Linked DNA regions of Ovis aries. The protein of the gene in region 2 purifies or fractionates together with the protein of the main gene of each other region. This does not show direct contact. Links are inferred from orthologs where the notes say so. Each region holds a gene or a part of one and is shown on either strand. Other genes may lie near its edges.

Region 1 (6,155 bases), about 8.1 Mb from region 2:
GGTATGGGAGCGCTAGCGAAGCGGGGCCGTCTGGGCACCTTCTTGTTTCTCTTAGGATATGGTCTGTATTGGGTTGTGGAGGGTCTGGGGACAATATTCCTTGAATTCCTTCTGAATTCTACTCCATAGAAATCTCAGTTCTACCATTCAATAGCTATTGACTAGGTATATTACTTAGTCTATTTAAGCTTCCAGTTTCCTGACAGACCATGATGTAGATGTACCACAGGCTGTCAGTAAGTGAGAGCTGTTTTGTTTTTATCGAGTACTTCGTAGCACATCTTGAGGCCTTGCTTTTATTGACCTTTGACTCTCATTCTTTAGCTTGGGGCAAGTCAGTTCCTCTTCACCTTACTTTCTTTACTGTCTCTGTTTTGGGATGGTGACATTAAAATGAAATCATGTGAGAAGTATGTACGAAAGGATATCTTTTGAAGAAGATGGCTTTGGAATGATACAATGTTTAACATACGAATATGTGTATCATATATTACATAACGTAGTTACTATATAAAGTACTGGAAGTTGTCACCAGTGCTGTTCTGGCCTGCACTTTGTCACTGGTGCTGTTCTGTGCCTGCTCTACAGTTCTAACTTTGGGCATTTTTCTAAACTAGAGCTTCATATTTTTCTGGGCAGCAAAAGACTTAGAAATGGTATTTTGACTATCGAGTAGAAATACTTAAGATTTGGGAGTAAAGATTAGGGACTAGCAAGAGAGATTGGGATCCACTTTTCCAGTTTGTTTTTAATGTGAGAGACTCACCCAGTTTCTGTTCTTGGCAGGCAGTTAACAAGATCAAAGAGATTGCAGTGACTGTGAAGAAGGAAGATAAAGTGTAAGTTTGCAGTGAACTTTGTCAGAACCTTGACTTCCCATGGCCAGATTGGATGCAGAAGCGTGCTGGAATACCCTGCATGGACTGGGGCTGATTGGCTCTTGCTAAACCCCTTGCTGTACCCCAGTCCGTGTAGTACAAGAGTGGCTGTAGACTGCAGTTGAAAAGCTGTCACTCATGAAGTCTTTGACTGCAATTACCATCTGTCACTGGTAATCTGCCCTAAAGATTCAGAAGACAAAGGTTGAGGGCTGAATTTAGAGGCTAGAATAGAAACCATCTCCACATTGCAATAGAGTCCGATAAGAGGGGCTTTCAAGGCCTGATGCAGGTCCCACCCTTGTGTCCCAGGGAGCAGAGGAAGCTGCTTGAGAAATGTGCCATGACTGCTCTGAGCTCCAAGCTGATCTCCCAGCAGAAAGCCTTCTTCGCTAAGATGGTGGTGGACGCGGTGATGATGCTTGATGATTTGCTGCAGCTTAAAATGATTGGAATCAAGAAGGTGCAAGGTGGAGCCCTAGAGGTGAGCCTGCCGAGGCCTCCCTAGGAGGCTCTTGCTTTCACATCAACCCTGTAGGCAGCTTGGCTTAGGAGGACAGCACACGTTAGAGGAATAGAGAGAGCGCACTCGGGCTGAAAGCCAGACTGAAGCTGTGTTCCTCATACTGTGGCTATAAGCTGTCTCCTATAGGTGCATTTTGTAACCTCCACAGACTTGTATTACTTGTCAGCAGAATCGAAGGGTGAACTGGCTGATTTTCAGAATCTCAGTGTTAATGTCTGAGGGGACAGGGCTAGCTCTGATAAATTATCTGAAACCTTCTCAATAAATATAAGTACTTTTCAGTATATTCTTCTCCAAGTGGTACAAGCAGGCTCTCCCTTCTTTTATTCATTTATCTTGAACAGATAGTACAGAAGTCAAGCTGTATAGAAAGTCCTAAAGGAAAACAGAAATGTCTCCTACACCTCCCCTGCCCCAGAAACCACTCTTAACTGTGTGTATTCTTCCAGACTGTGCATCTATAAGTATAAATGTAAATATTGTTTTCTGAAACGAATGCTCACCTGTAATGCATAGTGTCCTGCAACTGGCTTTTGTTTATTTAACAACATATTTTTTCACTTATTTAAATTAAAATAGTGGCTAGTGTCTACTGTATATGCACAACACAATTGCATTTCCATTCTGTTCGTCTCCTCCTCTTCTTCCTGTCATGGCACACGAGAGTGGGATGAGATTCCCTTTATGTAATAAAGCTGTAAAGAATCTGAAAGTCATCTGAGCCGTTCCCATGCCTTTGGCCCCCAGATGGGCGTGTTTCAGCCCATTCTCTATGTCATGGCTTGCTGACATTGTCTTTACATACTGCTTTGATCTCAGTGTGCCATCTTCTGTTCCAGAAACCCTTGAGATTAAATTGGCATTCACTAAACTAGGGCTCAGAACTGTAATTTTAACTGGTGAGAAAGCCAGGGGCTGCGAGCCACACATACGTTCAGTCTGTCTCTTTTACTAGTCCTTTGTCCTGGTAATGCAATTGTTATTTTGTTGACATATAGTTGATTTACAATGTTGTATTAATTCTCCTGTTCAGCAAAGTGATTGTTAACACATACCTAATTCTTTTTCATATTCCTTTCAATTATGATTTATCACTGAATATTGAAGAGTAGGACTTTGTTTACCCATTCTGTCTAGTAGTTTGCATGGTAACCCCAAACTCAACCCATTTCTCCTCCAACCCCCGACCTCCATGGCAACCACAAGTCTGTTCACTTTGTGAGTGTTTCTGTTTCATAGAGAGGTTCATTTGTGTGGTATTTTAGATTCTACATGTAAATGATATCATAGGCTATTTGTCTTTTTCTTTCTGACTTCACTTCCTGAATATACCATTCTTTATGGAGTGGGAAATGACTAGGTCATTTAATAAGATCTGAGATTGAGCCTGCCTTCTCATAGTATTAAAGTCACTCCCAAGTGCTGTGTGTTTTCTCTCATGCCCTTATGTTAAATCTGCCACGCAGCAAGCTCTGTTTTGGAATGAGTGGTGTAGTAGTTCATATTTTGAGGGATTAAGATGAGAGAAGCCACAATGATAACTTGAGAACTGCGGGAAATTTCTGACTGTTATGACCTTTTATTTTCATTTCCTAAAGAGAGGAAGCATCTAGGCTACAGCACACAGGTGTTTGTACGCTCACGTGCAGTACAGGTAGGGAGGGATATGTGTACTTATGTGCAGTGAAGACTGGGAGGTGTCGAGTTGGAAGGACAGTGCATCCCTTGGCACGTGTGCTTTGGAGGGTCAGTCCTAAAGGACAGCCCAGACAGGCCTTTCCCATGTTTAGTATCTGCAAGCTAAGTGGTTTTCCTTATCCTGAAGGGACAACCAAAATATGTTTTCATATTTTTCCTAGCATTTAGGATGATGGAAAAACTTCATTACAGTAGTGGAATAAAAACATAATTAACCCTTTCAGGTTCACAGAAATGGATATGCGTTAGTCCAGCACACCACTAACTTGATTTTATTTCATGCCAGTGCTGAACTGTTGAACCATCTGATTTTTTTAAACAGGAGTCCCAGCTTGTCGCTGGCGTCGCATTCAAGAAGACTTTCTCTTATGCTGGCTTTGAAATGCAACCCAAAAAGTACCATAATCCAATGATTGCCCTTTTAAATGTTGAGCTTGAGCTGAAAGCTGAGAAAGATAATGCGGAAATCAGAGTCCACACAGTTGAGGTAGGTCCTCCCGCTGGCAGCGGCATGAAAATGGGCAGCATTCTGGGCCAAAGCCTTGGGCCTTGGTGGTCATTTCGGGCTTAGCGTTGTTTCTCAGGTACCTTGTGGGCTCCTTTCCCCTCCGATGCCCCTAAGTATTGATGTCTAAATACTAGGCCCACTCTTCTCACTCTACTCTCTCTGACCTGGACCTAAGGAGGTTTGGATAGGGCAAACCTGCTGAAACATTATCTTTTGGCCCTGGGGAAGGGGCTTGCAGGAGGCTTTCAGCTATAAAATGAGCCCTGTATTTTGATTCCTCTTATTTGGGTAGATGTGAGCTCTGCCATTCTAGACTGTGTCCCATGCTGCTGGGACTGGTGTGCTCCCAACATTGGTATCAGCAAGGCTATCTCTTTGGATGTAGCATGGTCACCCAGCCATAAGCAGCTGTTCTTGGAAAATCCATCCCCAGCACAGAATGGCCTTTGAAGGAAAGGTCTTGTCACTGGGGACTCCATGGGTGCAGTGCCTCAGAGGAGCTAGAACTTAGCTGGCCAGACTGCCTCACACCTTAGCAAATACCAGCTCTGGAGTGGCTCCCAGTGCTCAGATTCCTTGCTGCTTTTGTGTTTGAAAGTTGTAGATGGTTCCTAAGTTACCTTATAGGGTCCTTGTTTATTTGAACTGAGGGGAGTCTGTTCTGTTTATCCTCTGTTAATTCACAAATAAATCAATATTTTCTGGGTCTCTTCAGGATTATCAGGCAATTGTTGATGCTGAGTGGAACATTCTTTATGACAAGTTAGAGAAGATCCATCATTCCGGAGCCAAAGTCGTCTTGTCCAAACTCCCCATCGGGGATGTAGCCACCCAGTACTTCGCTGACAGGGACATGTTCTGTGCTGGCCGAGTGCCAGAGGAGGATCTGAAGAGGACAATGATGGTAACCAAACTTTCTCAGGCTGCTTTTAGGTCTTTCTGGACCCAGGGGTTTTCACTTACCCCTAGTGTATTGGAGTGGTATATGAATCTGGGCTTGTCTTCTTAACTCTTTTTGTCATAAAACACTTCAGTTCTAGTGTGTGCATACTTACTATATAAGAGTTAATCTAACCAAACAAGTCAGGAAAGCTGATTTGTGAGGGAACCTAGCAGCAGTGCTGCGATTAGCTGGCTGACTCCAGTCTTGATGCTGCAGGCCGGGTTTCCTCTCTTTTTTTTTTTCGCATCTTGCGCCTGTGGAATCTTAGTTCCCTGACCAGGGATGGAACCTGCACCCTCGCACTGGAAGCATGGAGTCTCAACCACTGAACTGCTAAGGAAGGCCCTCCTCCCTTTCTTCTTAAGCATCTTGCCAAGGTGCTTTAAGTTTTAAAGCACTGATCATGACTTCAGTCACTGCACTCAGCACTCTAGTTTAGGGAAGAGAGTATTGGGTAAAGCTTTCTAACTGGGCTTGTTTGCCCTTCATGTGTCTTCATTCTGTTTTGTTTTCTCCTCTTCCAGAGGGAGCCTTGAGGTCAAGGGTGAGAGTGGCTCATCCAGTGTATCTGGGGCACCGTGGCAGTCTAACATGGCAGTTGGCTTTAAAATTAGGTAGCAGGATGCTTGCGTCCCACCTCATGTGATCTGTCACTGCCAGATGATTTTGTCCTGTGTTCCTCAGGCTTGTGGAGGCTCCATCCAGACCAGTGTGAATGCGCTGTCATCAGATGTTCTGGGCCGCTGCCAGGTCTTTGAAGAGACGCAGATTGGAGGCGAGAGGTAAGTGGTAGGCCTGGGCTCCCTGTTTGCTTAGCTCATGAGACTTGCCTGATGGCCTTCTGCTGTCTTTGGTTTGTGGCGTATATATAACAGGCCTCCCAGGTGGCACTGGAGGTACAGAGCCTGCCTGCCAGTGCAGGAAATGAAAAGCGAGTTCGGTCCTTGGGTGGGGAGGATGCCCTGGAGGAAGAAATGGCAACCCACTCCAGTATTCTTGCGTGGAGAATCCCATGGACAGAGGAGCTGGCAGGTTACAGTAGCGTGTGCTATTGTCTTCTGAGACTTTAATCTCTTGGGGTGTATAGTGCTCAGTTATATAAAGTGTTTCAGGAAGAAAGAAGGTCAAATCAGGGCTACAGTCTGACTCCACAGTCTTTTATGCCCCTGTGGTACAGCCCTAGACCTTCCCAAGAACACGCCTTTAAGGGCAGGCTTGGAGAACTTTAGTGAGGGACAGAAGAGCAGCTGCTGAGTGTTGGGAGGACTTGGTGAGGTCAGAACACTGTGGGTTGGCAGCAGAAAAGAGTTCACAGATACAATTTGATCCTGGGTGTAGGTACAATTTCTTCACTGGCTGCCCTAAGGCCAAGACATGCACTATCATCCTCCGTGGTGGTGCAGAGCAATTTATGGAGGAGACGGAGCGGTCCCTGCACGACGCCATCATGATTGTCAGGAGGGCCATCAAGGTACTAGACCGGGGGCTTCCAGCCTGCACAGCCTACTCTGCCTCTTGAGCTGATGCAACCCTGGATTTGTGTGGTGATCCCTTTCCTGTATAACCTGTCCTTCCATGTGGGGCATGTGGGCTCTGATTGTC
Region 2 (6,372 bases):
TTTGCCCTGGAGACAAACAGAGATCACTCTGTCATTTTTGAGATTGCATCCAAGTACTGCATTTCGGACTCTTTTGTTGACCATGATGGCTGCTCCATTTCTTCTGAGGGATTCCTGCCCACCAAAAGAGGAACTCCCCAGGTCATTAGGTGCCCAATATGCTACTGGAGATCAGTGGAGAAATAACTACAGAAAGAACGAAGGGATGGAGCCAAAGCAAAAACAATACCCAGCTGTGGATGTGACTGGTGATAGAAGCAAGATCCAATGCTGTAAAGAGCAATATTGCATAGGAACCTGGAATGTCAGGTCCATGAAACAAGGCAAACTGGAAGTGGTCAAACAAGAGATGGCAAGGGTGAACGTTGACATTCTAGGAATCAGTGAACTAAAATGGACTGGAATGGGTGAATTTAACTTAGATGGCCTATGACATACTCAGGAAATTACCCTAAAAGCAACAGAGAAACACTGAAAGGTTTCCCAGAAGCAGCAGTGTGAAGCAAGTATTTAATCTGGTAACTCTGATCACAGTGTAGAAGAGATTGGAAAGAAACAAGATGAAGGCAAATGGACTGTTTAAAAAGACTGGGAGAGTGAAGATGAAAATCAAAGCAAGGACAGTGATAAAAGGGGCAGAAAAGGAGTAAATTCAAGAAATATTTAGGGGGTATTAACAAAAAGGTATAGTAATTAATAAATGATAGTAAAATAGTATAAAGAATCAAGGATAACTCTTGGATTTCTAGTTTAGATAAGTTTGGTAGTGCTGCCACCTGATAGAGAATATACAAAGAATATTTGAAAACGGACTTCCCTAATAAGTCTAGTGGTTAGGACTTGGTGCTCTCACCGCTGGGGCACGGATTCAATCCCTGGTTGGGGAACTAAGATTCCCCCAAGCTGCATGCTGTGACCAAAAAAATTAAGAATATATGGAAGAAGAAAAAGTGCTGTAGGGATTTATGGACAATAAGACAGCCATTTTGAAATGCTGTGTAGGTAGCCTCAGGCTTAAAAAAGAGATTGATGAGTCAACAATATATAAAACCACAAAGTGGATTCAGTCTACCAAAGAATATGTGTACAATGCAAAAAATGAGTTAGGGTCTACTGCTACTACTAAGTCACTTCAGTCATGTCCGACTCTGTGTGACCCCACAGACAGCAGCCCACCAGGCTCCCCCGTCCCTGGGATTCTCCAGGCAAGAGTACTGGAGTGGGGCGCCATCGCCTTCTCCGGAGTTAGGGTCTAGCCTCAAAAAATGTCAGTATTTTCAGGTGAGAAAATAAAAGGAATTTATGATGGATAGGGAATAGAAACTGTCATAGAGTTGTGTCAAAAAAGCCTATAGTGAAAAGATTTCAAAAAGGATAGAGTGGTCCACAGTTTCAGATAGCCAGTACATCAAGTAAAATAAGAATTGCAAAATATCCCTTGGATCAGCCAGTTAGATAGCTATTGATACTTTTTTGTATTTAAGTGGCATAGCCACAAGACAGAATGAAAAGGAATGATGTACAGTGAAAGACATGGAATCAGTAACTTATAATTGTGTTTTCTAGACCAAAGAGTGGAGAAAGCAATGGCACCCCACTCCAGTACTCTTGCCTGGAACATCCCATGGATGGAGAAGCCTGGCAGGCTGCAGTCCATGGGGTCACTGAGAGTCAGACACGACTGAGCGACTTCACTTTCACTTTCGTGCCTTGGAGAAGGAAATGGAAACCCACTCCAGTGTTCTTGCCTGGAGAATCCCAGGGACGGGGGAGCCTAGTGGGCTGCTGTCTATGGGGTCGCACAGAGTCGGACACGACTGAAGCGACTTAGAAGCAGCAGACCAAAGAGACATGGGAAGGAAGAGAGGCTAGAAAGATGGTAATAATGACCCTATATGAGAGACAGCAAAAAAGACACAGATGTATAGAATAGACTTTTGGACTCTGTGGGAGAAGGCGAGGGTGGGATGATTTGAGAGAACAGCATTGAAACATGTATATTATCATATGTGAAACAGATCACCAGTCCAGGTTCGATGCATGACACAGGGTGCTCAGGGCGGGGATGCTCACCCACTGGGATGACCCTGAGGGGTGGGATGGGGAGGGAGGTGGGTTCAGCATGGGGGACACATGTACACCAATGGCTGATTCATATCAATGTATGGCAAAACCTACCACAGTATTATAAAGTAATTAGCCTCCAATTTAAATAAAATTAAAAAAAAAAAAAAAAGAACCAGAGAGGGAAATGGAGTCACAAAAGGCTTCTTCCTGCCCAGGATGGGAGAAACTTGAATTTACTATATGCTCAGGGGATGGAAACAGAGCAAAAAGGGTAAGGCTTCAGATGAGTGCAAAAGAGAGAGGCAGCAAAAAAGAAAGACAGTGCAGTCTCAAAGGAAACAAGAGAAGGAGGTCAACAGCGAAAGGGAAAGAGTTGGCTTGGGACAGAATGAGATCAACTAATCTCTGAAAGAGGGATAAAGGAAGTGACAAAAAGTATGAAACAGAGAAATCCAGAAAAGAACTGCAGCAGGAGAGGGTGTTATCTTTCACAAAATACGTTAAATGATTACTAAATAAATGTTGGGAGAATATTTTAGTTACTGAATTTCTTATCTTAGGTTTAGTGATGAAATTAATCTAAAATGGTAATAAAAATAAACTATGGTTTTATGACAAATATGACACTTCATATTCTAGAATTTATGGAGAATTTAAAGAGAAAATCAAAATAATTGAAAGAGAATTTATGATAATATCTAGTGATATATCCTACAGTTTTTTGATTCATGGTGCTGTTTCCAAATCTAAAGGGTACTTTTTAATTTTTAAAAGTCTTTTAAATATATTGGTGTTATACACTTTGAAAATCATTAGCCTCTACACTCTGTAATAATTGATCAAGACGATGATGCCAACATTCATTTTCCTTCAAAATTATTTGTCAAGAGTAGTGACAAAGTATGACTACAGATTAATAATAATGTGTCAAGTACTGTACACATGCCTACAAATGAAGAAAACAACTGTCAATCAAGGCAGCATTTTCAATCAGTAAGACTTGGGGGTGGGAACTCTTTTTGCAGGAAAAATACATTATTTTCCCTCTTTTTTTAGCATATTATATATATATATATCAAATTGATTCCCAAATATAGAAACCCTTTTTAACAAAATAAATTTATTTTCAAAACCATCTCATTTTATCCATAGATATGCAATATAAAATGCATAAAAAGAAACTATGTGATTCCTTCATATTTTGGGGGAGTCACATACCATAGGAGTCATAGGGATCGATGTTGGGGTTAGTGGTGTTCCAGCTCTGGATCAGTCCATCAGTACCACCACTGTAGCACTGCTCACCATTGCTGCTCATCACCACACAAAGCACTGGACCTCTGGGAGAAAAAATCAATTTCCATCCTCAAAAAATCTATTTGGTATTACAATGAGTTAGAAATAAGAATGCTTGGTTTTTCAAATGGCTTTCTCTTTTTCTATTTTGTACAACAAATAAAAAATTTACCAAAGCACTATTCATTTTTCTTCCTCTGCTAAACCAGTGGTTAGTGGTCTATGGCCTGTGGATCAAATCCAACCAGTGAACTGGTTTTGTACAATCCTAAAGCACTTACAGTTTTTACCTTTTTAAAATGTTATAATACAAAACTAAACTAAAAGCAAGAATATACAACATTAAATATGCAGCCTGAAAAGCATTTACTATCTAACCCTTTTTAAATATAAAACGTATGCCAACCTCTGTGCTCAATCGAGTGAACAGGTACATTTCTTAAACTTAAATGGAAACAGGAAAAGCATGAAATGTGGCCACGATTTTTTAAATGTCTCAGGTATTTTTACCAGGTTATCTTTAAGGAAAAAAAGATCAGGATTTCTAATAGTTAAACTTAACTGCGTCAACTTCATTTTAAGAGAGAGATATATACATCATCTAAACATCATGCGAATAATACCTAATTTCAGCAAGGATCCCTATTTGGTAGTGATATACTTGTCACTAACATTACATTATCTGCCACTTTCTTTTACATTTACAAAAAAAATGCTACCAAATACAATAAAAATACCACATACGACAAATACATACATGAAAGAAGATATACTAATCAGGCTGATTTACAATGATGTTGATTTAACACAAAGAAAAAGCACACACTTACTTATGAGCTCTGAATGTATAGATAGGCTCCACATCAAGAGACGTGCTCCTAAATCAGAGAGAAAGGAGGATGTTTTTATCATTCTAAAAGTCAGTAGTAAACAGTATGACTGAATGTATGTCATAAAAACGCCCCTAGAAATATCAACACTATGGTAATATACAATTCTCAACCCCAGGACACAATAAAGCCTACCTAACATCAATCACATATTTCTGTGGCTTCAAGAAACAAAATTCTTTAGTAACTGTTACAGCACTTTTAGCACTGTCCTAATCTATTTGATTAAAGGGAGAAAGAGCCTCACTCGGAGAGAAAACAGAAGGGTTTTGAAGACATAAATTTCTGGATTTAATTTCCAGTTCTGTATCTAATTGGCTAACTTTAGGCAAATTATTTAATCTTTTGAAACTTTAGATTCCTCTATGTTTAATATAAAATATAAAAATAGGGATAACAGCAAATATTTACAAGATTAAATGAGATTCTTCACGGTAAAACAGCGTAGGACAGAACCATACAGAACAGAATTTCAATCAAAGGTACTTTAATTTCCTCGCATTTCCATAAAGATTAACATGTCTGTCCTGAATACCTGCAGAAACTGTCCACATTAGATTTGAACATCAGAACAGATTATTCACTACTCAGAACACTGAGTGTATGAGTACTCTACATGGCTTATGCTGGCCATACTGAGAACAGAAACTGGATTGTATTACAGATTTTTTTTTAATAGGCATATGATAGCTCTCCTCATTTCCAAAGTTTTAAGTTCAAAGGTAAACAAAGACTATTGTTACTTGCTTGTGAAGGTGTTATTACTAAGCTACCACCAGCAAGAAATTTCAATATATTTCAAAGTTACAGTCAAGAATATATGATGAGATACTCAACATTCTCTCATCTAATATGATGCCCACTGTGAACTAAAGAACTTGAAGAACAAAAGGCACAGTTTGTAACCAGGAAATACCTTTCTCTGTTAAAGACACCTGATCTACATGAAGATTCACTTGGTTTTAGCAATATCCAGTTGAGCTGTCTGATGAACGTCTAGGTGTGACAGCTGGAATGTCACTGATTGTTTTCAAATTGGGCAGGAGATATTCTCTGTCAGTAGTAAAACTTCTGTCCTCTCCTCCATTTGACGTTCATTTCTACTCTTTAATAAAAAGAGGTATCTATCACTGTAGAAGGGCCCTTGCTGGTAGATGCTGGGTTCTGGACCACGTAATCCAAGGAAGAAAGAGAAAGTACCAAGTGGGATCAGGACTAGCTTGGTGACTGATAAAAGGGGTTTATACCAACTCATGTCTGTCCGTGCTTACAGAGGAACCAAGGGGCCAAGGGAAGTTTAGCAGATAAGTGAGAGCAGCAACAGTACCCCTTCAGTCTAGACATTTTGGTCAAGATCAAAAGAAAGGATCAAAGAGAGGTCTCTTGCCCCCACCGGCTCCAGCATAAGGCCAAACCTAGTAAACAATGGGGAAGGATTGGGGTTGGGGTTTGACGGTTTTAAACATGACTATGCCTGCTTACAACAACAGAAACCTCCAGCGCAGACAAAGGGTTCTCAAAATTTAAGTTATTTAAAACACCAAATAAAGATTATAATCAGCATTCACAAACCATTTCTCCCTAAGGGTCAGTTTTTCAACCTAAATTAGCTTATGAGTATGAAGGCAAAAACATCCTAAATTACATAACATGGTAAGGAAAAAAATTAGAAGAGATATTTGAGGAATTTAACAGCAAATAATAAAGTAAGGCTTTCTCTGCTGAAAAATATTAATTAAATTATTCAAATACAGTTAAAGTAGAATATTCTCACTTTTTGGCTGGGGCTGTTTTCTGCAAATTCCACATTTTTAACGTGTGATCCTCTGATGCTGTTATCAAAACAGGCTCAGTGGGGTGGAAAGCGAGAGCTCTAATACCATCAAAGTGACTTCTTAATGTAAACTTGGGGTTCCATGTCTTCCTCAATGCATCTTTATTATTTGCTATCTATTAAAGAAAAAAAAGATACCAATATACTTAGTTCAGAATGAGGGAAAAAACTGTATTTCAGCATTAATTCTTACTGTTTCATCATTAAACTACCATTATTTTGCAACTTTCAAAATAATGTAATTTTTAAGCAGATAACCAAATCAATAGGCAAAATTAGCAATAT
Region 3 (6,372 bases), on a different chromosome or scaffold from region 2:
AATACACACACACGTTACAACTAAACAAATAATTCTTTCAGCATCCATTGCTGTTAATACCACAACAAGACATGCCTCTTGATGAAAAGCAGCCTCCATCTAACAAAGTGATCTTACTGCCCCCAAAATATCAAATCAGCTCTCATTAAGCCTCTAGATCAGGGCTGAGGCAGATATTGGCCAAATATGGAAAGCAGCTAGTTTCTGTAAATAAAATTTTCCCAGAACAGCACCATGCCCGTTAGTCTGCATATGACAGTGTGTGGCACACAACAGCAGAGCTCTGTAGTTACAACAGAGACTGTCTGGTCCACAAAGCCTAAAATATTTACTATCGGGCCCTTTACAGAAAAAATTCACAAATCTCCACTCTAGATTCAACTACCAATTTTGCAGGACAAAAGAAAACATTGCGTTATACCATGGGAAATGTAATCAACAAAATCTCAAATAAGGATTCTAAACCTGTGCTCTCCAATGTGACAACCATTATCCTACTTACTCCCTACTTCTGAGCGCCTGAAACACAACTAGCGCCACACATTCTAATGGTAGTTACTCTGGATATACTGGGTTAATAAAATACATTATTGAAATCAATTTCACCTGCTTTTCACTTTTTAAACTATGGCTACTGTGAAACTTAAAATTAACAGGTAGCTTACATTGTATTTCTGTTAGATGGTGTTGTTTTAAACCATACTTTATGAATAGTAAAAATGCAAAGAAAAGTAAGGAGGTGGTTACCACAAAAATCAAGAAACAGTGTTACAGTCTTAAGGGGGTAGGGAGTAGGAACTGGGAGGGGAGTGTGTTTGGGAGGCAGATCATGCTGGGCTTCCTGGATAATGGCTATCAAAGTTCTGTATCCTTTCACAGACGAAAGTTACAGGATAACATGCCTTGTATTACTTAAGATGCATATTCACTTTGTACTGCTTTGTATATATTATTTTAACAAATTTAAAAAATTATTTTGAAAGATTTATCATCTTCAAATCTAGAATCTGAACATGAGACTCAAGGTATGTATCTGCTGCTCTGGATCCTGTAAACATACAGTGATCTGAGGGCAGAACTAGGTAAACTGTTCTTCTAGCGTCCAGGAACTCAGGGCGCTGATTCTCCAAAGCACCATAAGAAGAGCACTACAGCTCAGCAATGAAGGTCACAACTCTGGAGCTAAGCTGCCTAGACTCAAGTCTGCACTCCAACACTGCTCACTATGCAACCATGAGCAACTTACTCCAATTTCCTGTGCCTGTTTCCAATTGGGGCTGTTGTAAGGGCTGAATTACTTCACATATGTAAACCACTTAAAACAGGCTGAAAAAGATTCATTTGGGTGCTTACTAGCATATTATTATTGCTTTTTGCTGTTATTTAGTCGCTAAGTCATGTCTGACTCTTCCGCCACCCCATGGACTGTAGCCTGCCAGTCCCCTCTCCAGTGAGATTTCCCAGGCAAGAATGAACACTGAAGGGGGTTGCCATTTCCTTCTCCGGAGGATCTTCCCAAACCAAGGATTGAACCCGCGTCTCCTGCATTGGCAGATGGATTCTTTACTAGCACTGAGTCACCAGGGAAACCCATTATTATTGCTAATTTCTACACTGATGAGATGGAGATTCTTGGATTTATAACTGCCCTCATACAAAGTTATCCCATACACTCATAGAGAGGATGCAGAGGGTCAAAGAGCCTTCCCAATACATGCTATGCTTGTTTACCTGAATGCCAAAATTCCAGGAAACATTACTGTCCCACAATAACTCAGCCTGCAGTACCCAAAGGTATAGCTACTCTTTAATGTGGCTTTGGTCTTCCTTCCTAATTATGGCTCCCAATTCCTCAACTCCCCTTCAACAGATGCTAAATGGAAAAGGAAATCACAGTTTGGCTAAGAAAGAACTATAAGGACACTGGGATGGGTAATCTTAAACTTTAGCCAGGCCAGAATTAAGTAATAATTCTGAAAAAAAATGATACTAACATGAGAACCAAAACATCCAAAGAAATTCTTCAAATGTAAGCGCATATTTGTGTACTTTAATTACTAAGAGTTAACCTACCTGTTCATCTGAAGCTAGATTAGTAAACAAAGGAACGATTTCACTTTTCACACTGTCTAATTCCAAAACTTTTGCAAATTCACCCAATTTGGAAGCAGCAGCACGGCGTACCATTGGTGTGTCGTCTGAGCACAAGGAACGGAAGTACCTGCAGCAAAATAATGAAGGTATTTCCTGTTACATGCCACTGATTAAGCATCCCCCCAACACATACAGAAATTTCAGAGGTTTTCTCCTACGAACATCAGGCATTAGACTTCTACTCACAGAAGTAACAAAGGAAAACCCACTGGTACCTTCACCTGGACATTGGTAACTGTTGTCATCGATCTGACTACCCTGATACCAGCCACTCACTGGTAACAGGGTAGTGTGTATCCTGTCAGCTGTGAGCTTCCAATAACCCCAAATAACTAAAAAATACCATATCTTACTGTCTAATTTCTCCTTTGACAGCAATGGAAGCCCTGGGATAGCAAACGCTGAACAAACCACATGCGGATGTGCGAGAGGTGAACCAATCCCCACTCGCTAAGCGTTTCACCAGAGGTACGAAGTGAGCCTCCAGAGCCACTGGCGTGTGCTCCTGCGAGATCTGCCTCAGGGACTCCACAGCCTTGTCTCGAACCACAGTCTCTTCCACAGTTGCCAGGCTTTCCAGAGGAGGCTGGATAGACCAAAATGGAAAACCAGAGAAAACTTACTCAATCAGGTTAGATACAGATTATCATCTTTTAAAGTGACTGAAAGGAGGTGGGACAAGCAACCAGAATGTTAGCTACATCACACCAAACAGTTACTCTCAGTTCACACGGTGATGGCATATGCTGTGTCCAACCTGAAGACACGATTTCTGTAGGACAGCCAAGGTTTCCTGTCCCAGATGGCAATTCCCAGATGGTGTCTATGAATGACATGGTAGAAGAGACCTGACACGATATTAATATCACTGTGAACTGAATCACTCAATTTAAAGGCTGTGTAGCCAAATTCGACAGAACCATGTGTACTTCCTCAAAAGTGAGTGCAGAAACATGACCACCACGGGGCACCACAATTACAGGAGAACCCCGCATCAGGACACCGAGTCCACGGCGTCTGGAGTATCATTCTACCGTTCCTGGAGGTGGAAGCTACCTCTGTCAATTCACTCCGCACCACTGACTTTTCCAAACTATTAAAGGCTGAGTGCAAAATTACTTTTCTCCGAATACACCCAGAATTTTTCCATGAGCCAGACACAGAGTGGGACGTTATGAAAGAACAATTAAGTTAAAGGTACAGAGACAGTAGGAATCCTTGCCTGCAGCTTTAGAAACAGTAGAGACCAAAGGGGTTGGCCCTGACTAGGATCAGTGAGTGAGCAGGGCACAGACCAGGGAAAAGTACAGAGGGCAGATTCTCTGAACTGCTGCTCTTCTGGGTTTGCACTCAGTCCGGGCAGATTCAGGATAGAGCATGAAGTGCCAATGTTAAAGACAAAAGCCACATGTAGAACTGACCAGGAGAGTGAAACAGAATTATGAGTCAAAGGAAACAAGGGAGTCTACATAATACATTTCAAAAATTATTTGATATAAGGTACTCAGCTTTCCTAAGGGAAATTTCAGAAGCCCTCTGAAAAGATACTGTTTTCTTAAAAGCAAAGGCCTTTCGAGTTCTGTCCACTGCCTTCTCTGACCTCCTCTCATGCAGTATCATTGATAATCTCTATCACTACTACGGAAGAGCAAGCTCCTGTCTCTTGATTAAAACTTGGCCTATTTCTCCATGACCTTTTCCCACAGCCCTGGGACCACCACTTCCGCCTACTCTAGCACCAACACTTTATACTGCAATCAACCAGTTTCACACTTCCAAGGCTCCTAAACTCTTTCTTTTAAAATGATAATTACTTTTAAATTCTAGCACTGTGGAGAGGGAAGAAATAAGGCCATGATTTCTTTGCGCTAGTTTACTTTTAGGAGGGGGGGTGTCTTTTGACTTTTCTTAATTTTTTAAAGATTTACTTATTCAAGTACAGTGGTCTTACAATGTTAATTTCTGCTGCACAGCAAACTGATTCAGTTATACATATATTTCTTTTCCATTATCGCTTTATCACAGGACATTGAATACAGTTTTATATTCTAATGGAGAAAGATAACAACTCATCAGGGCAATAACTAGATGGTGTTGAATGCTCTGTAAAGAGAACAGGGGGAATTCCTTGGTGGCCCAATGGTTAGGACTCTGTGCTTTCACTGCTGAGGACCAGGGTTCAACCGCTGGTTGGGGAACTAAGATTCCACAAGCTATGTGGTGCAGTCAAAGAGGGGGTAAAAACAAGGATGATGTGGTAAGGGATGAGTGGGGAAGAAATTTCAGGTTGAGAGGCCAGGGAAGGCATTGCTGAGACGCATTAAAGCTGGCATCTAAATGATAAGGAGCCAGTCACAAGAAGCTCAAAAACACATGTTATTATAGGGACTATCCAGGGCAGTAAGCTTGGTATATTCAAAGAATAGAAGGAAGACTATTGTGAATGGAATGAGGTTATTAAGAGGGAATATGATATGAGATAGGCTCATAGGGGCAAATTTTATAAACTAAGGTTCAAACTAAGGTAGAAATTATGAATTTTCTAAGAACCATGGAAGGGAGTGAGTGATCCATCTCTGGGTGAAGAGTGAACTGGAGTGGTGGGGCAGAAGGCATGAGTGGAAAGCAACTAGATTACTGCAATAATCTAGAGGAAAGACCACGTGGTCTAGAAAGACCAGTGGAAAGATGAGCTAAGTGGTAGTAGAGATGGAAGAAAGAGAACTGATTTGCAATACATGCAGAATCTACAGGAGTGACTGACGGATTTGATGTGGGAAGTGAGGGGAAACAGATTCAAGAATGTCTCCCAGGTTTTGGCTGCGCAACTAACTGGGTAGATGGTGATGCCATTTACTGCAATGGGACAACTAATTAGGATACACTTTGGGGAAAAAACTGCATTCTGTTTTAGACAAACTAAATTTGAAATGCCTGTTTCACACCCAAGTAGAAAAACCACAGCAGATATATATAACACAGATATTTATATCTTTCTACATATATCTATATCTGGAGCTCCATGGAAAGGTCAGAGGTAAAGACAGAAGTCATGAGAGTCAGCAATATAATACAGCCAATACTGAAGCCTTGAAGCATACAACCCCATCATCCTGTGCAGCTGTCAAATTCCTAGTCATCTTTCACACCCCAGTTCAGACATTCTCTCCCAAAGAGATCTTCCCCTATCACCCCGGGTTAATCCCTTTCTCTTTCATGTGCTTCAAATTTTTCCATCTAACACATAGTAATTACTTGTTGACACAAAAGGACAGAGGCCTTATTACACTCCCAAACCCTGGTGCTCACCTTTAACATGAACATTGTAACTTCAGTGACTGATATAGAAGGTTCTCAAATGAAATTCACAAAGGAAGTCAGAATCAAAAGCTACACTTAAAATTAAAGACAAAACTAATAAACATTTCCAAAGCCACAGCATTGTTAGATGAGAATTAAGATTTCCACCATAAGAGGGAAAAAAAACCATGAACAGAAACAATCCAGTCCTTTTTCTCCTAACTGCTAAAGTAACAAGTCAGAGAAGAGAAAGTTCCCACATTCACAACCAGAAAAATTAAGAAAGGTTGAGTCCAAAATGCCTACATTATTTGTTCTCTCAATAGCTAACACTGTGACTATCCCTAAAAAGATCTGCATAAAAAAATGCTGCACTGTGCCTATCACCAAACAATGTACTATTTATACTGCAAAAGTTCTAGAAGGAGAGCAGGCAGAATATACTCACCAGCAAACAGTGGGCAAAGTCAGGACCTCCCACCAGGCCAGTGAAATTTCCCAGCTGCTCAGCAAGAGCTAACAGTACCTCATCTTCATCATAAATTGTATCTGGAAATGACAAGAACCCAGTATTCATCAACAAGGATAGCTGGCCCAAAGCTGGACACTCATACAAAACTAGGAAGAGACTCCATATGTAAGTAGACGATCTGCCGCCATCCTAACCGCCTTTTCCTCCTTCTCAATCACGTGTCTTCATGGATTTGTTTTACAGAAGTAACTAGAAATTCATAATTACATATCAATTACTTTTCTATTAGCTAAATAGTTAATATCTGAATATGTCTGGCCACAACATTACAATGTATGCTCTGCCCTGTTTCTTCACAGTAGAAACAACAGGCTCAGTTTAGTACTTACTAATACTATGGGCAACAAATTCAAAATAGTCCAAGTTTCGAAAGCCATTGGAAAACA
Region 4 (6,372 bases), on a different chromosome or scaffold from region 2:
AAGAAGAAGGCATCACATGTTCAGCACTGAAACCTGTTTCTTTGTCAAAGAAACCCATGTTCACTTTATTTTCTTGAGGGTTTTTGTTCTGTTTTTTAAGCATGGTCATTGGATTGTGTATTTTTCTTTTCAAATGGGTTCCCACTTGTGGGTGGTGGTAGTAAAAATATATATGTAGCTCCTGATAAAATAATTTTTTTAATTGAGAAATGACAATAGTTTTTGTAACTAGATGTCATTTGAAAGCTTAAATTATACAGTACTTTGCTATGACGTTTGAGGAAGTTTCCTCAACCCTCTATGAACAATTCTTTTTTTTTTTTTTTTGTAAAATGTCTTAGGAAACATTTAAATGTCTGTTTACATGATTGTTAATGTCCTTTATTCACCTGCACATAATATATGATGCTCAAATGAAATAGGACTTCAAATTTTTCCTAGCAGGGACAAGAGGGTAGCTTAAGAATCTCCTTCGACTGCCTTCCTGACCATTTGACCTGACTTGGTGCCCAGGACCAAAGCCCTAGGCCAGGCTCCAAGCACCAGTCCACATTCCCCGCTCAAGTTCCCCAAGCCCTGAAGGAGACAGGATGGAGATGAAAGACAGCAGCCGGACGGAGGCTAGAAGAGGGGGTGGAGGGATTCTGTCTGCAGCCCTAGTGCCGAGAGCCTCCACCCTCTTGACCCATCAGCAGTCGAGTGAAGTTCTATGTGGAGAAATCACAACCAGTCCTCGATTATAATGTAGAATTATTTTTAGCATCCTTTACTTACCTATGGTCACCTTGTTAGGTCTCTAAATCTGTAAACTCATAAAGATATTATGTTTACCATATTTTAGAAATGCAAATGCCATAACTCAGCAAGGAAAGATAAGATATACCCATTGGTAATACAAGCATTCATAAGCTGAGGCAGTAAGCATGGCAGTTCAGGTCACAGACTTTAGAGCCAGGCTGCCCAGAGGGGTTTAAATCCCAATTCTGACAACTTGCTAGCGGAGCAACCTGAAGCAAGTCACTTGACCTCTGCATAGTAATTTACTCATCTGCAAAATGGAAATGATAGCACCATTTTAAAAGTCAAAGTAAAACTTAAGGTAATCTGAATCTGAACACTTGGATCAGCATCTAACATGTAATTAGCACTGTATAAGTATTTGTTCTCATTAGTATGCTGTGCCCCTATTCTGATGCTGTATCTATACTTAGATGGCCCATCTGATTTGTAGTCACAGGTTACTTCATACCAACATCACCACCTTTGATGTCTAACTGCTAGCAAATCCCCTCTTCAGTAATATTTGAAAGCAAAATGCTTATTTTCCTTCTTTCCCAGGCCCAACACAGAGATACTTTCATTGAAGAACGCTATGGAAAATACAACATCAGTGATCCTTTAATGGCGCTCCAGAGAGACTTTGAAACCCTGAAAGAGAAGAATGATGGCGAGAAGCAGCCAGTGTGCACGAACCCGCTCTCAGTTCTTAAGATGGTGATGAAACAGTGCAAGAACATGCAGGAGCGCATGCTGTCCCAGCTGGCTGCTGCTGAGAGCCGGCACCGCAAGGTGGGTGACGCTGACACGAGCCCGCAGGCTCCTGTGACAGCTTTCTAAATAGTGCCTGATACTTTTCTGTCAGCTGCCAGGTCTCATGGTAGTTCAACTGGGAGGTCTCACAGGTGTCCAAAAAAAAAAGAAATCAGCTTACCTAGGAGCCAGGGGATAGAAAATGCAGGTTATTCCAAAGGTTAAATTTAGGGAGTATGTCAGACACATTATTTTAGATGACATTCCTTCTTGATACGACACTCCAAAACACTTGGTTTGTTTTTTCAACTCTTGATCACCCAAACTTTGGCAACAAACTGGGGCTTGACCAAGCCTTGTAGCTGAACAGAGTGTTCTCTATTTGCTTACTTAAGTGATAAATAGAAAGATTAATAGGTATTTGGGTATTTGGGGAATGCTGTATCAGAGAGAGAGAATTTACCTGACTGTAAACATACAAGCCAATAGATTATTTTTATTAAATTTCTGGTTTTGAGTTTCATTGCATTTTACCTCTCATGAAACCATAAACAGTCCCTACGGTTGTTTACCTTAAAGCTGTTCTCTATTAGGAATGTGTGTGTGTGTATGTGTGTGTCTGTCTGTCTGTCTCCAGGTCTTACAGCATCTAAGATAGGACCTGTGCTTTCCTCTACCTCATCTCATAGGAATTCTTCTAGTGCTTGTGATTTCATTCCCCGACTTGTCATTTATAGCTCACATTTGGCCTGGAAAAGATGCTTGGCTAGAATATGCATTTTTAAGAACTGTTGGTTTAGATTTATATCAACAAGGTGGGGGGACATCAGTGCATTTAGTAGGAAGTGTTTTATTCAGAAAAAATTGGGTTAGCAGCTGCAGTTTGATAGATCTTCGTTTACTTTATGGTTACCTGCTTTAGAGAGCCATCTGCTTAAAGTGCATCTGACAAAGTGCTTAAGGTCTTAGGTCTTGCCCACAATTTTTCTTTCCCTTCACAGAGTCCAAACAAAAAGCCAGAATGGGAGTTCTTAACCACAAATAGGTCTCAGATGTTCCATGACCCCCCAGAAAATACAGTGAATGCCAGAATTTATGCATTTTATAGAAAATGAATTTTTTTTTCCTATCCTTACTAGAATTCTCAGAGTTCTCCAAGACCCAGAAAAGTTTAACCTCTGGTTTAGACTGAAGTAATCTGAAGACATTTATGCTCCAATTTAAAAGATGTCACTGAGTTAGGGTTAGTTGCCTAAATTTGGGGGCTTTTACATATTATGAGAAAATCTACACAACATCTTTATTTAATAGACAAGCCTGTTTTCCACTTCATACCTAAAGTAATTGAGTGGTACTGAAGGGCTGGCTGGCTATCAAGCCTGTTGAAGTAGTGTTGGGATAATTTATGGTCCTAGGTGATTGGGGAGAAAAAGAGTTAAAAATTTCAAGATTTCCTAATACTATATTTCAGTGTAAGATAGCATTAAATGTTTTAAATCACTGCCTATCTATTCTTAAGTGTTTTATCAAAGCAGAACATTGACTTCATTAGACATCACATAGTACCTAGAGGCTTATAATTAGCATGCATATAGTCCCAGTTTTCCTGAGAGAATTCCAGTTTAAGCCTGGTGCCTTGGCAGAGTTGTTAACGATACCCACTTTGGCTCTTAGACATATTAGTGATTTAAACAGTGAATTACATGGTTACTCTGCTTAGATCAGCCCTGGGATTTCTTTGGAAGGAATGATGCTAAAGCTGAAACTCCGGTACTTTGGCCACCTCATGCGAAGAGGTGACTCACTGGAAAAGACTCTGATGCTGGGAGGGATTGGGGGCAGGAGAAGAAGGGGACGACAGAGGATGAGATGGCTGGATGGCATCACCAACTCAATGGACGCGAGTCTGAGTTAACTCCGGGAGATGGTGATGGACAGGCAGGCCTGGCGTGCTGTGATTCATGGGGTCGCAAAAGGTCGGACACGACTAAGCAACTGAACTGAACTGAGTCTACCTCTTCCCATTCCCTCTCTTCCTCAATATTAGAGACAACCACTTTTCTTCTAATGTGTTATTTTGTTAGCGAACTTCCATATATTTTTTCCATATTTCTAACTAATACATTGCTCTCTCACTTTATCAGATAATTTTAGACACTTATATTTACTTCCTTTTATTATAGATGTGGATTTTTAGCACCCCACTTCCCTTTCCTCTTCACCCTGCCATCTTCCCAAAATAAAAATAATCCTCTTTCCTCACCTTTATTCTCTGTCATATCTGTTATTACCAAATCTGGAGGCTGTCACATTCTGTCTCTTCAGAGTATAAACATCTGGTGTATTCCTGGGCGGTAGATGCCTGGCTGGGCATTCTGTGTACAGGAATCAGGTTGAAGGGACAGGTAACTCTTGAAAATACACACAGCTGGACCTAGTTCCCTTGTCTTCCATCCCACACCTTACCTCTTCTCTGCAGTGTCTGCCACCTGCAGATACCCCTATGTCTTTTGGGTCCTACAGGGCAAAACAGCTTCCTCCCTCATACCAAGTAGCTACCATCCCTCCAGCCTCTTTCTTTCTTCAGAATATTAAAAATTTGTCTGCCAAAGTCTCTCTTTTTAGGGTTTTTTTTTCTTTTCATCCCATTTCTATAATTTTAGACGCCTCTCTGGAAAGGAGAAGCCAAAATCTTTTTTTAACCAGAAGGAAATAAACCAGAATGTTTTCATTTTTGTATTTAAAGAGGAGTCCCAGAAAGTCTTCTTCCTCCATTCATAACAGTTGTTAGTGAAGACAAACGATGAGAAATGGCCATGGGGATGGCAGTGCTCTGGCTTGGGGAGGTCTGGGCCAACCCACCTCTGAATCATGAGCAGAAGCTATGAAGAAATCCATAATTATTGGAATAGTATGCAGTTGTAGGCAGGATTATGTGGGGAAGTGCCCCTTTAAACCTGTACCCTCCTTAAAGTTGGGCTTAATTGCTTGGCACCAGGGTAAGTGGAATGGGTAGACAGTTAATTAAAAGGCCTTCTGAAAAATCTCGACTTCAGATCTCAATAATTAAGCCTTCTCGTATGCAGGATGAAGTCTAGAGAATCTTTTTACTCCTTATCTAACTGTATATAACACGTATATAATAATTAAGCAAGACACAGTTAGGATGTCACCTATTTGAAATGTTTAATTTCAGGCTTCATTCTCTGGTACCTCCAGTGATTTGAGCATCACGGGGAAAGCCTCAGCTTTCAGCTTTCCATGAATCTGCCTTAGTTCACCTGTCCCCTAATCCCAACAAACTTATTAATTCTCTGAAACCTTTTCAGTCCCTATAGCTAATGAGTTCCTCTTTTCTGTTTACATGCCACTTTGTGTGAGGTAAAGTATATATTGTATTTTTTCTAGAACATATCTTTCACCCTTCTAGACAGTGTGCTCTTTGATGGCCCTGACTAAGATTTACTTACTTATTTATCTATGGAATATGATCTTGGATGTTTAGATAGGCACTTACTGTTACATTGTATTCTAAGTGTGAGTCCCTATATTTGGAAATGATTTTTTTAATTCTTTAAAGGTAATCCTAGACCTTGAAGAAGAAAGGCAGAGGCATGCACAGGACACAGCTGAAGGCGATGATGTCACCTACATGCTGGAGAAGGAGCGAGAGCGGCTGACTCAACAGGTAATTAAGGTGGAAGGGCTCAGAGCAGCATTTGCCTAGAGTAGCATTTCCTGAAGATTATTCTGCAGGGTATAAATTGGTGTTACTCAAAAAAAAAGGGCTTTGTGATCAGATAACTCTGGGGATTACTGTATTAAACAAAGTTAAAGAAGCTTCCCTGGTGACTCAGATGGTAAAGAACCTGCCTGCAGTGCAGGAGACCTGGGTTTGATCCCCGGTGTTCATGTTTGATCCAGTGTTCATGCCTGGAGAATCCCATGGACAAGCTACAATCCATGGAGCCACAAAGAGTCAGACACGACTGAGCGACTAACAAACAAAGAGGTTTCTAACTTCAATTGTTTAGACTTTGTAGTATGCCAAAGCATGCTGTGAGTCTTCAAGATTAATATAGGGTAATCTGTGTTTAGCAAATCTATATTTTCATAAAATCTGTTAATATAGATCATTCACTATGGACCATCATTCCATAGAACACACTTTGGGCAACACTAACTTTGAACTCTCAAAACTTTTTTTGACTTAGGACTCCTAGTAAAAAATACATTTTACATCACATACACATATATACATATGCTTGAAACAAAAATCTCATTAAATCATACATAACCCTTACTGCTTATAATACACATTAATATTTTCACTTCTGTTTCATTTGTTCACATCCTTAATGACTCACTAAATGGTTTCCCCATCCATTCATGGGTCTCAGAGTTTGAAAAACACTGACTAATAGGGTTCCTTGAACCCTTTCCCTCTCATTTTGTTCATTAAGTAGGGTTGGGATGATGGTTAAAGCCAATGGCATTTGTGTAGAAAAATGATTCATATGCAGCTACTTATGTTTGTTTGTCTTTAAGACCAGAAAGAATTATTACTGAAGCTTTAAAGGTTTTGTTTTCATCAGCATTCATCACAAAATCCAGTTTATATGGCTTTCTGCTTTCTGTTTTGATTGGTTCTAATCCTCTGAACTTTCCACAGACCTAGAACACAATGACAATTCAGATTCCCACTAATAATCCTGAGACAGTAAGAACTAGAAGTGGCTCCTAAATCATCAAAGCAAGATTAAGTCGTCGTGTGTACATTTTTACGTTAGGTGTTGTAATACTTAAGAAATAGTTGATGTAAGCACATGGCATGTAACAGTT

Evidence for each region. The genes of interacting proteins can lie anywhere in the genome.
Region 1: the proteins of STRN (region 2) and CCT7 purify together in Homo sapiens (affinity purification with mass spectrometry; 3 studies listed by BioGRID and IntAct, with this or other methods). This does not show direct contact. The link is inferred for Ovis aries from reciprocal best matches to the Homo sapiens genes STRN and CCT7.
Region 3: the proteins of STRN (region 2) and PPP2R1B purify together in Homo sapiens (affinity purification with mass spectrometry; 5 studies listed by BioGRID and IntAct, with this or other methods). This does not show direct contact. The link is inferred for Ovis aries from reciprocal best matches to the Homo sapiens genes STRN and PPP2R1B.
Region 4: the proteins of STRN (region 2) and CTTNBP2NL purify together in Homo sapiens (affinity purification with mass spectrometry; 5 studies listed by BioGRID and IntAct, with this or other methods). This does not show direct contact. The link is inferred for Ovis aries from reciprocal best matches to the Homo sapiens genes STRN and CTTNBP2NL.

The regions. Positions count from the first base shown.
Region 1 is NC_056056.1:95,261,864-95,268,018, forward strand, and holds part of CCT7 (T-complex protein 1 subunit eta), read left to right. Parts: coding exon 1-1; intron 2-786; coding exon 787-839; intron 840-1,190; coding exon 1,191-1,362; intron 1,363-3,424; coding exon 3,425-3,589; intron 3,590-4,325; coding exon 4,326-4,514; intron 4,515-5,237; coding exon 5,238-5,335; intron 5,336-5,891; coding exon 5,892-6,024; intron 6,025-6,155. UniProt on the Homo sapiens protein: Component of the chaperonin-containing T-complex (TRiC), a molecular chaperone complex that assists the folding of actin, tubulin and other proteins upon ATP hydrolysis.
Region 2 is NC_056056.1:87,165,261-87,171,632, reverse strand, and holds part of STRN (striatin), read right to left. Parts: intron 6,204-6,372; coding exon 6,028-6,203; intron 4,242-6,027; coding exon 4,194-4,241; intron 3,408-4,193; coding exon 3,286-3,407; intron 1-3,285. UniProt on the Homo sapiens protein: Calmodulin-binding scaffolding protein which is the center of the striatin-interacting phosphatase and kinase (STRIPAK) complexes.
Region 3 is NC_056068.1:21,771,858-21,778,229, forward strand, and holds part of PPP2R1B (serine/threonine-protein phosphatase 2A 65 kDa regulatory subunit A beta isoform), read right to left. Parts: intron 6,004-6,372; coding exon 5,903-6,003; intron 2,741-5,902; coding exon 2,508-2,740; intron 2,222-2,507; coding exon 2,074-2,221; intron 1-2,073. UniProt on the Homo sapiens protein: The PR65 subunit of protein phosphatase 2A serves as a scaffolding molecule to coordinate the assembly of the catalytic subunit and a variable regulatory B subunit.
Region 4 is NC_056054.1:89,885,635-89,892,006, forward strand, and holds part of CTTNBP2NL (CTTNBP2 N-terminal-like protein), read left to right. Parts: intron 1-1,338; coding exon 1,339-1,569; intron 1,570-5,110; coding exon 5,111-5,218; intron 5,219-6,372. UniProt on the Homo sapiens protein: Regulates lamellipodial actin dynamics in a CTTN-dependent manner. Associates with core striatin-interacting phosphatase and kinase (STRIPAK) complex to form CTTNBP2NL-STRIPAK complexes.